3 linked regions of the Nothobranchius furzeri genome follow. The protein of the gene in region 3 interacts with the protein of the main gene of each other region in a pairwise test. Links are inferred from orthologs where the notes say so. Each region holds a gene or a part of one and is shown on either strand. Other genes may lie near its edges.

The links.
Region 1: the proteins of bbln (region 3) and thap11 interact in a two-hybrid assay, tested with the Homo sapiens proteins (2 studies listed by BioGRID and IntAct). The link is inferred for Nothobranchius furzeri from reciprocal best matches to the Homo sapiens genes BBLN and THAP11.
Region 2: the proteins of bbln (region 3) and cep290 interact in binary tests that used the Homo sapiens proteins (3 or more experiments, as listed by UniProt). The two-hybrid records come from large-scale screens. The link is inferred for Nothobranchius furzeri from reciprocal best matches to the Homo sapiens genes BBLN and CEP290.

The regions. Positions count from the first base shown.
Region 1 is NC_091749.1:58,063,446-58,066,819, forward strand, and holds thap11 (THAP domain-containing protein 11), read right to left. Parts: upstream 1,953-3,374; 5' UTR 1,760-1,952; coding exon 947-1,759; 3' UTR 740-946; downstream 1-739. Other genes in the region: dkk3a (dickkopf-related protein 3a), read left to right, coding at 3,048-3,224. UniProt on the Homo sapiens protein: Transcription factor, which has both transcriptional activation and repression activities. Also modulates chromatin accessibility.
Region 2 is NC_091744.1:50,508,432-50,512,925, reverse strand, and holds the start of cep290 (centrosomal protein of 290 kDa), read right to left. Parts: upstream 3,040-4,494; 5' UTR 2,832-3,039; coding exon 2,724-2,831; intron 1-2,723. Other genes in the region: protein O-mannosyl-transferase TMTC3, read left to right, coding at 4,073-4,261. UniProt on the Homo sapiens protein: Involved in early and late steps in cilia formation. Its association with CCP110 is required for inhibition of primary cilia formation by CCP110.
Region 3 is NC_091746.1:54,789,996-54,793,213, forward strand, and holds bbln (bublin coiled-coil protein), read left to right. Parts: upstream 1-1,581; 5' UTR 1,582-1,856; coding exon 1,857-1,935; intron 1,936-2,048; coding exon 2,049-2,323; 3' UTR 2,324-2,613; downstream 2,614-3,218. UniProt on the Homo sapiens protein: Essential for intermediate filament organization in intestinal cells, interacts with intermediate filament and regulates intestinal lumen morphology.

The DNA of each region.
Region 1 (3,374 bases), on a different chromosome or scaffold from region 3:
AAACTTTATTTTCCACAAGTCAGGTGAAATGAAAAAAAAAATACTGGTTTAATAAAGCGCCACTGCAAAGCTTTCACTCATCCTTCTCAAATCAACCAAAAACACTTTGCAGATCAAAGGTTTTATCTTTCAAACCTAAAAGAAGTCGTGGGGTCACAGTAACACATCTGTAGGCTCTTGCATAGAGCTCATCATTTCCAAAAGCAGTCAGATGGAGTTCAGAAACATGTAAAACACTCATGAACAGCACTATGAGATGCAGCAGACAATGTCAGTGATGTCAAAACACTCAGCAGTCTTATAATGTTCAGAAGAAGGCAATAGGACATCTTTGTTCATTTTTGAAAACCTCCCACTTCTCATCCATTGGAGACAAATTGCATATAAGATTTTTTTTTCTAAAAAGATAAACAAGTTGTACTAATGTAACACAGTGTGTCCTTATGATAGAATTTTTATTGGCATCTTATATTTTGTGCTCCTATGGAACTCTTTTTTTATTAACTTCAACTGCAAACATGAATAAAACTACCAGGAAGTACTTTCATTATGAAAAGGAAATCCTAATGTCCTGCCATTCTTCGTGAAATATTTCCTATCAACCTTTAAGCTGCAAAATTAGAACCTTGGAATAGAACAAAAACACGATTTAGGTTAATCTAAATTAATTTCATCAAACTATCAGATCACTTGCAAATATGGGGCATAAATGTGTCTTTGATCCTGGCTGAACTGCAGGAAAACTGCATTTTATTTTTTAATAAACTGAAATTTGCTTTTTCCTATGTGCTACATGACTCAGGAAGTCTTTTTATTTATTTTTTAAATCAGGCCTCTAAGAAAAGCAGGTCTACTTGTTGAAAATAAACTCATTTTTCGTTTCGTTTTAAACACTGTCTCAAAAGTCTCTCAGTCTGTCAAGTGTCTCTAACAGGTCCAGGTGTCTTCAGACTTTCTTCTTGTTCCTTGCACAGGCCGCCGTATGGCCGCACAGCAGCAGCCGGTCCCGTTCCCGCACCTCCTCCTGGAGCTTGGCCTCGGACACCCGCAGCTGGCGGATGGTCGCCTTCATCTCCTTCATTTTCACCTCCATGAGAGCGATGATGTCTCGCTGCTCGTTCAGTTTCCGTAGCAGCTCAGCCGACGTGGTGCCGGTGGTCAGAGAGTACGAGTGGTCCAGCGGGCTGCAGGTCACGCTGACGTACTGGACGGGCAGCTGGAGCACGGCGGCCCCAGTTTCGACTGAAGACTCACCGACTATGATTTGTTCGATACCATCGTCCGATTCGGGGAAACAAGCTCCCACAGTCGGGGCGGGTAGCCGCGCTGTGCCCAGGTACTCCCCGTTTTGGCCTATGTGGACCACAGTGATGCTTTCGTGGCCCGCCTCGCCGCCGGCGTTGCCATCGGCTCCCACTGCGGTGCTCCCCAGGATACTCGTAGCGGGTATAGGGATCGCTGCGGACACTTTCCTCCCTCTGCCCCGCCGGCTCCTGCGCTCATTCACGCCTCGCAGCGGGAAAAGGGATGGCACTCGCACGCTGTAGGTCTTTCTCCCGCCGGCGAAGTGCACACTACAGACTCGGTGTCCCGTTGTGGGCTGAAAGGTGCTGAAGCAACCGCTGACCCCGGCACGGGAGATGTTCCTCAGCCACAGCTCCCTCAGTGCGTTGTCCTTAGGAAACGTATAGAAGCGAAGCTCCTTATCCCGGTGGGAGTTGTTGTAGCAGCCAGGAACACAGCACGTGAACCCGGGCATGTTTTTCTCCCGAAAGACGAGTTAAAAACGCAGCTTTTGATTTGTTTTTGTTTGTTTATTATCGTACGCGCTGTTACCAAGCTAAGCGGCCTGCAAACGGAACTACACGTCCCACAAAGCTAACGACTTCCTGTTTCTTTTCGCCAAAAGTTCGCAGCTCCAGTGCGTACGGTGGCTGAATCCACCCAAATTATCTTGAAGTCACGGCATACGAATCTAATGTTTTTCACCAAATACAACACAACTTTCTTATTTTGGAGTCTTGTTTTGTTGTTTTGTTCTCCGATCTGAAATCAAGTCAACAGTCTTCAACGGAGAACTAAAACTCCCAAGATCCTTTTCGTCTTTTCGCTGTCTGCTATTTTTAATACAGCGCCAGCATCTGGTCGGCATGTATATAACGTGTTTTTATATGAACAGAAAAATACTATTTTTTTGTAGCAAAATTGTTGTTTTATTATTTCTTAATTTTACTGCGTAATATAAAAATTTAGTCTGAATTTATACAATATTTGTTTAATCCAATTCTGATTTAAATGCCGTATTTTTATTCACTATGCCCTATAATCCATTCCGTCATTTTACTTACATTTCTAGATTTTTGTAACTATATTTTTGTATAACTTTTACATTACACGTTCTTGTGGCTTTTAACAGCTATTTATGTAATTTAATATCATCTAAATGTATTGCTGATATCGATTATTTTTTTACATCTTGATAAATGTGGTTTGCACGACAGCCAAATAGGGCTAGTACATTCGTTGTTGTATCCCAATTTCGAGATCAAAATTGAGAGGTTGTGTGTGTGAGAGAGAGAGATGGGGGGGGGGGGGGGGGGGTTAGAGAAGCGAATAAAATAAATTTTTTTTTATTAATTTTGGCTGTAATAAAGTCAGAAGAAGGAAGCTAAATGTTGTGAAAAGCTTATCTGTAGAAAAAAATGTATGCAACATCCCCAGACCTACTTTTATGAGATGCCTTTGATGTTTTGTGTGTTACAAAAAACAACTTGTAAAGGTAGCCTACACACTTATAAAAATACTTTACATCGTCCCAAGCAGGGCTATATTAGGCTACCTTCACATTAAAGAGTTGGAAGCATAAATATAAACACAACCATGATTATTTTGGCTTCATAATTTAAAGTTTAATATGTGAATAATATGCACGAGCACGTGACCATCCACGGGAACATCAGCTGTGGTGACGCGGTTTGTTTCTCTGCTCAGCTGCGTCGCCACACCCTCGTCTTCCTCCTCGGTGCGTCTGAAGCAGCAGCAGCACCATGATGCGATCATCTCTGCTGGTTTTGGTTCTGACAGCAGTATGCGACGGAATCCTCCCCGAGATAGCCTACTCAGGCATCAATCACATCGTGGAAGGACCGTCCGAGCTGGACCGCGTATTTGTGGAGCAGCTGCCGGAGGACCCACATCCAAAGCCCGAGGATGCATTTCCCCAAGTATGCAGCCAGTTGCACCTCTCAGGCTGATGTTGGCATGGCTTTGATCAAAATGCATGTGCTTTCACTCGTAGTTTAGTAAAGTGTCTATTCTAATAAAAGCATATATATTTAAAATATTTTTACGTTCAAAGGCAGATCGAGGAGTTT
Region 2 (4,494 bases), on a different chromosome or scaffold from region 3:
CCATAACATTTATTCATATGCTCAGCAGCTCTTCAAGGTCTGCAAAAGCCTGTTAATCACCTGATGACTAAAATCAGGTGTGTCGAAACAGGGAAAAACCTAAACATGCTGGAAAGCAGCCCTTAAGGACAATGATTGCTCACCTGTGAAATAGGGGACATAGAGTCAAAACTATCTAAGAGCTACAGTGGGGAACAACGTATTTGGCAGCCACCGATTGTACAAGAAGTCCCACTTCAACTGTGAGAGACAGGATTGGAGGATTTTAAAGAAATTATTTGTGCAATGGTGCAGAAAATAAGTATTTGGTCTATAACAAAATGTCACCTCTATACTTATGACAGAGGTCACGTTTCCTGTAGGTCCTCATCAGGTTTGGACACAGTAGCTGGAATTTCCAGCCACGTTTCAGCTTCAGTGCCTTTACTGATGGAGGAATTTTTTTGCCCAGAATCTCACTGTTGATGGTCCTTTTATCCCTTTCATTAATACAGATCAGTCGCCCGTCCCCTTAACTGAAGAGCATCACAAAACATGATGTTTCCACCCCCATGCTTCACACAGGGTGTGATACTATTGGGATGCATCTCAGCATTATGGCCCCTCTAAACATGGCAATTGGTGTTTATACCAAATAATTCTATTTTGCACTCATCTGGTCACATGACATTCTCCCAGTCCTCCTCTTGATCATCCAGATGGCCTCCAGCAAATCTTATTTATCTTCAAATTATTCTCTTCAGTGTTGGTGCTGCAGCAACAAGTGAATTTTCCCTCTGTGGGATCAATAAAGTCTATTGTATTCTATTTGACAGGCCTGGACATGCTGGCATAAGAAGGGAGACCTTACGGGCGCTGCAGGGTGTTCCAGCTCTTTTCAGGTCAGTGACCATTTCCCCTCATATAGTTTTGAGCTGTTCTCAAGATCATTTGTACCCCACTAATTAAGATCTTGCATGGAGCCCCAAGTCAATGGAGATGTCCAGTGACCCTGCATGTATTCCATTTTCTAATAATTGCTCCAAGTGGATCTCTTCTCACCAAACTGCTTGCCTATTGTAGATTCTTGTGCAGGTGTACAATCTTGTCCCTGGAGTCCTTAGACAACTCTGGTCTTGGCCATGGTGGAGGTTGGTGTCTAACTGTTTGAAGGTGTGAACAGAGGTCTTTTATACAGTTAACAAGTTCAAACAGCTGCCATTAACACATGCAGCAATTGGGGGACAGAAGAGCATAGAAGACAGGTGAAGTAATGGGTTTGTTAGGGATTCTTGCTTGTTTGTAGGTGCTAAATACTTATTTTTTGCACCATTATACAAATAAACAAAATAAATCATACAATGTGATTTCCAGGATTTTTTTTACATTATCTTTCTCTCACAGTTGAGGTGTACATTTCATGAAAAGTACTCTTTCATCTTTTTAAAGGTGTGGTTGACTGAAAAAAAACATTTTTTTAATGAATCGGTCACTGTGAGTTTTTCATGCAGGCTGAACATGAAAAACGTCTCCTACACTAATCTCCTGCATTAGCGTTCTATCAGCTTTGTGGGCCAATCGGTCTGGTGGGCAGGATGATGCGACAGAGTGGAACAAAATGGCGACCGCTCATTTGAAACAACTTCTACATCAATTTTGGACTATTTGGACTTGGGCTTCATTAGAATCAGGAGCAGATAGATGTATTTAAGTCCTTTAATTAGAAAAAAGGATTTATTTTTGCCAGCGGACCGCCTCATTTACCGGCATCCGTTGCGGTGAGTACGTCACTTTGTTCGTTGTCCAGTTGCATACGGAGATCCTTTGAAAGACATGGTAGAAACTGCCCCACAACCAAGAACAGTCAATGGAGCATTGCCAAACTAAGATATTTATTAAGTATAGCTTGCCAGGCTACTAGTATATTGACTTACAAGGCATTTATTCCTACTAGAGACCACTACAAATAGATTGATAAAATAAGTCACCCACACCACACAAGTGGGACACCTAGTAAAATCAGTGGCTGCCAAATACTTTTTGCCCCAAAGTACATTTTGTTGAAAAGAATTGCAATAATATTTTCTGTATTTTACAAACAAAACAAAATGCTGTCCAGTTAATCATAACCAATTACTCGTCCCTTACTTGAATTTATTTCATTCTGTGCTATTTTATGAAGTTATTCTGCTAAACAGGCTTTTCTTAAACATATGACAGCTATTCATTTTTAAAATGAAAGATCTTTACAAAAATGTATGCATTAAACCTCAAATTACTCCCAAATGTATTTAAAAATATAGATATTTAACAAAAAAAGGACTTGATAAAAAGTGAAAATATGAGTTTTGTTATGGGAGCTTGTTTTCCCCCCATCTCTTCTCTCATTGCACTGGCTCTAAATACAATGATGTGAAAAATATTTACAGATGTATTCACAGTGAATTCATTATTAATAAATAAAATATTCAGTTGAAATCTGTATTCTGAAAGTACTTGGGTTATATTTAATAATAACAATTGTGTTCCTGAAAGATTAGTCTAAAAACAGCAACAACAACAACAACAAAAAAACAGAAGTAGCTCAAGTAGGACAATTCATGCAACCGTTTTAGTAATAATGAGGTTTAACGCTTGTTTCCTCCACTCGCTTCGAATTAACTCGTTTTCTATTGTTTAAAATAAAGCATTAGTCTGACAGAGCACATCTGGAGAGTTCATATGATTTAAGAGTGGACAAATACCGAAATAAATGTGCGGACAACATCGTCCACTTCGTCCTTTTTCCATTCATGCACGTTCCAGGGGTCAAATCTTGACACTTTATTCCACACATGGCCGGCTGGCAGCATTTTGGACAACTGCTGTGGTTATCAATGTTTTCACGAGACAACGACTAAAAGGCTACTGCAGCCGTCAGGTGTACCAAATAACTCTACTCAGCTCCGCTGTAACCTCATATAAAACGTAGATTTTGGTAGGCTGCTTTAAACACGTCGTGTAAACGTTTCTGAAGTTTTGAAGCAAAAAGGTCAGTAAACTCTCATCCTAACTCCTGAGGTCTCTGTGAGGCTTTGGCTGCTAGGTTACGCTTCACAACTGCTACAGCTAGGAAGTAAAACTCACAAAAATCTTCAAGTGCTACAAAACGTCAACGAAAACACAACGAAACAATAAACGGGACCCTATAATAAAGGAATACCGCACTATAACGTTTCCGAAGAGTCTGTAAAGTGAGTTTCATCCATCAAAACGGGTTTAGCAGCTCTGTTGTTTAGCTAAAGTTTGACCTGCGCAGTCACCTCTGACCCGGAAGTACTATCGAAGAAGCGTTTAAGCTAGTTTGCACAAATGGAAAACAGTTTGATGAACTATGTTGTCCGAATTTACGCTACTATTTCTTGATTTTGATATAAGATTTGGTGTTGCTGCCGTCTGTCCTGTAATCACTTGGTAAGATAGACCTTAATGCGCATATTTAGACATTTCAGAACATAAAGACGGGTAACGAGCTAGTTAGCATTAGCGGATGAAGTATCTAGCTGTTCAGTTTCAGCTGTCAAACTGAGTTTCTCTTACTGCTCTTTTAGTGGTGTCTCGTCACTGTGAATACACAAGAACCACCTCGTTTTCCGTCATACTGTATTTTAAAGTAGATGTTAATGAGCGAGTTATATTGCTAATGATGTTGTTACTGACAAATGTCACAGCTCCGGGTCGTGGTTTGACCGGATAAGCTTAAAAGCCAACGGTCAGTCTCCATGCATACCTTTACTTGCTGTGCCATTAAAATACCTTACTTTTAATTATAGGCTAGAATAAATAATCCAGTCAATCAGAGAAGAAAATACTGTTGAAATTGCAGTTTGTTGCCATAACAGGGCTCAAGTTAGACAGAAAACATTTGATGTAATTGGCTTCATGACCTGTTCTAACCTCGGAACACAAAGTTTTAAAAGTTTAATTCTGTTTAATCAGCTTGGTAATGTAAGTACAATACAAGCGTTTTAAACTAAATCAAACTGTGCTTATTAATTTTGATTTCTGCCAACCCCTCCTTCCCTGCAGTGATCAATGAGGGCTTTGGCCAGCCATGGCTGTCGTGTCATGGAAGGAGATTTTATTTCTGACTGGACTGGTGGTGGGATGTTACTGGAACAGTCTCTCGTGTGGCTTTGTGTTTGATGATGTCTCAGCTATCCTCGACAACAAGGACCTCCGGCCCACCACCCCCATTCGCAACCTGTTTCTCAATGACTTTTGGGGCACCCCCATGGCTGAGGCAAGTCATGGTCCTATTTGGATACAGGCTTATTTTTCTCTTCAGAGATTGTATGTTTTACAGCAGGTGTGTTTAATTCCGGTCCTCAAGGGCAATTTGCCTGCTTGTTTTAGTTGTTTCTCTGCTCACACATTTGAACCAATGTGAGATAATGAAACCATTGAATCAGGTGTGCTAAAATGTGAATACCCCAGCTTAAGAGGATCTTAACATCATGCTTTGACCTATTTGCC
Region 3 (3,218 bases):
GAGTATGTGTGTGAAGGAGGAGGTGAGTCTGAGCTTAATGCAGCGGTGTCACATGTCAAACTTACGTTTTGACTTTGAAAGAAGTCTCTTATATCCACTTTTCGTTTTCTTGACATGCTGCCTCCTGGCTGTGCCTAACTACCAAAGACTCACAAATGAACACTTATTCAAATGTTATGTAATGGAAGCTGAGCTGAGCTCTGATATTACACAGCGTCTAGTTGACGATGTGACTCAGTACCGGTGTTCCCTAGCGGCTCCAAACTAGCAAAACAACGTGAGCACGTTCTGACTGTTTACAACTTGAGTGACAGCAGCAACAGCCAATAATACGTTAGCAAGTATCAGCAGAGCCAATAGATAGCTTTTGGGCGGGTCTAATAGTAAACCGGTTTCCGTTTCGGTCCTAGTGCTCAACCAAATCCATTTAATGGAGCGTAACATTGTTTTTGGACGTAAAAAAGTGCAGGGGACCAAAACTGCCTTTTGAAAAAGTGGGGGAGACATGTCCCCCCCCCCCCCCCCCCAAAAAAAATTACGTCCCAGTCTGGCTGGATCGATCAAGGGCGTTTATATGCTGTTCGATTGTTGTGTTTGTTTGTACATAAATGAAAAGAAAAAATAATTTTTTTTTTATTTTCATTTAGCAAACACAGCATCGTGCATCAGTAAATTGCGTCCTTCAACGTAGCTGGAGATTTACACATCTGAGATGATTACAATCACTGTCACGTAACTAAACAAATACCCCCATTCACCCTCTGAAACAGATAAACAAATAGAAACAAGATGGAAAAAATATTGGTTGTTAATATCGGCCCAGTTTTATTTATCAGAACAATACCATATTTTAAAATATGACTAACATTGGCTGATACTGATGCCGATATATTGTGCGGCCCTAATAAAACACGTGTCGCATTTTTTTTTTACTTCTTCTATTGTGAAATCTGCATCACATGTAGTCTGAAAGGTCACTATTCTCTACTCTCTTCTCCTCTTTTTTTCTCCATATTCCAATATTTTGGAGAAGAGGAATAAAGTACTGTTTTGGAACTGTAGTCATTTGCCAACTGTTCATTTCAATACCTTTAATAAACTGTGAAGGAAAATATTTTCTCACATTGCCACTCAAGATTTGTTTTCAGCAACCACCAATGCAGCTGTTTCCCCCCACTAAAATACTTGAAAGAGAAATTTCCAGTATGTTAAGGTTATTTCTTAACCACTGTAGGATACACCTAACACAGCTGGAAAATGTAATTTGTAACGAAGAGTAAATAAATAATGGGTAGGGAAATAAATCCAGACAGAGGAAGTCAGGTGCTTCGGTCAGCTGACTCTCGCTCTGAGTCTGAGTAAGAAGGTAAGAGGGTTCACTCTGAAAAAAGTTCTGTACCTTTAATCAAAAGTGATGACATGGCTTGTTTAAAATGAATGGGAACCATCGACATTGGAAACATAAAATGGTAGCGGCTTGAAGACAGTAGTTTTGCAAATTATCTGTCGCTAATGTATGAATATTTTACCTATTTCATCTGTGAATAATTACCAGAGTGAGACATCTTGTTTTACTCCCGAATCTCTGCTCAGGTTTCTCCCAGAATCAATTTGTTCCGTAAACATTTATCATTGGCCGCTGACAGATCTCTAACCTTGTTTGAAATGTCCTCTGAGAGCGTTGGACATGAACTCTGAGCACAACCTTTAGAAAGGACATTAGAAAGCGAACTCTTATAATTTTGTTCATTTAAACCGAGGAGATTCGAGGTCACGGAGGACAAATAGCACCGGTGCGAGTTAGCTAGCTGCTAGCTTTGCGTGAGTTTAAGTGGCAGCTTACTTCAGTTTGAATCATGTCAGGACCAAACGGGGATCCAACAATCTCCACTGATGATGGTATTATCAACGACGACGATGAATTTGGCGAAGAGGGTAAACTTTTTATGCATACTGAGTCATGTTTCTGAATGTTATTTGAATTATTGAGTCTGGCGGAAGCTTTCTACGTAAATCACCAAAGCGTCTATCCTGCTTTTCACCCGCAGAGTACTCCGCCATCAATACGATGCTGGATCAGATCAATTCGTATCTGGATGACCTGGAGGAGCGTAATGACGCACTGAATGGCAAACTTCACGAACTTCTAGAGTCAAATCGGCAAGCCCGTTTGGATTTCAGGGCTCAGCTGGATGCTCAATCGACTCAAGAGGAAGGGTGCACCCAGAGGGAGCGTCAGACCACAGAGGAAGAGTCTTCCTCACCCACCAAAGATGATTTAAATGAATGCGCAGATTCACAAACTAGTGACAATAGTCGTTAAACGTGGTGTTTTGTTATCAGTACTGATTCAGGCAGATTCTGAGATGAGATCGATTAGTCGCCCTTGATCAGCTTGGGTTTCCTGTCTGTCCTGATTATTTCCGTGAAGCTACATTCCATTTGGCAGACACTCAGTCCAGCTTTCCACCGGTGAACTTTGACACGCTGGTGTTTCTGTTCTATGCAGTTATGAGTTTATTGACCCAGACTTGGAACATTCTGAGTAAAATGTGTTTGTGTAAAAATGTGAAGAGAATTAAAATATTTATCGCAGTTAAAACTGCAGCATCACTGGGGTTTTCAGTGAAGATACCTTACCTCATTTCTGTTAACATTTCCCTATAAATGCTCCAAACATTTATTATTACTCTAAAATCAAAGAGCCATGCATTTCATTTAGAGCAATAACCAAGGCCTGTTTCACAAAATTAACCAACCTCGTCATTTTTGCATGTTGATCACAGATAAACTGAGGGCGATGGCATGCGCTTAACATCAATTGTATCTACTTTAAAGTAGGTTAAATCACACTTCAGACCTTTATCCAAAACTAATTCCTAGCAGTGGTTACAAAGGGTAAATCTTAAGTTTAGGTTGAATTTAATCTAACATTTAAAATAATGAAAAATGATCAGTCTTTGACTTGAACAGTATGTTTCAAGTGTAAAACCACGGAGAGGAAAAACGACATTCCAATGAGTCATGGATCATTATGGGATTTCAGACATTTTAATATAAATTAAGATTACTCCCAAACAGAAAAAGAAACATCCAAAAATACAATAAACTTCCAGCAGTTAGAAAACATCACCTGGTTGTTCATCTCTATTTTTTCAGTAGCTGAATAAAAATACAATAAGAAACAGTTTTGCTTTTTGAAATTCTCTGCCCGTGTT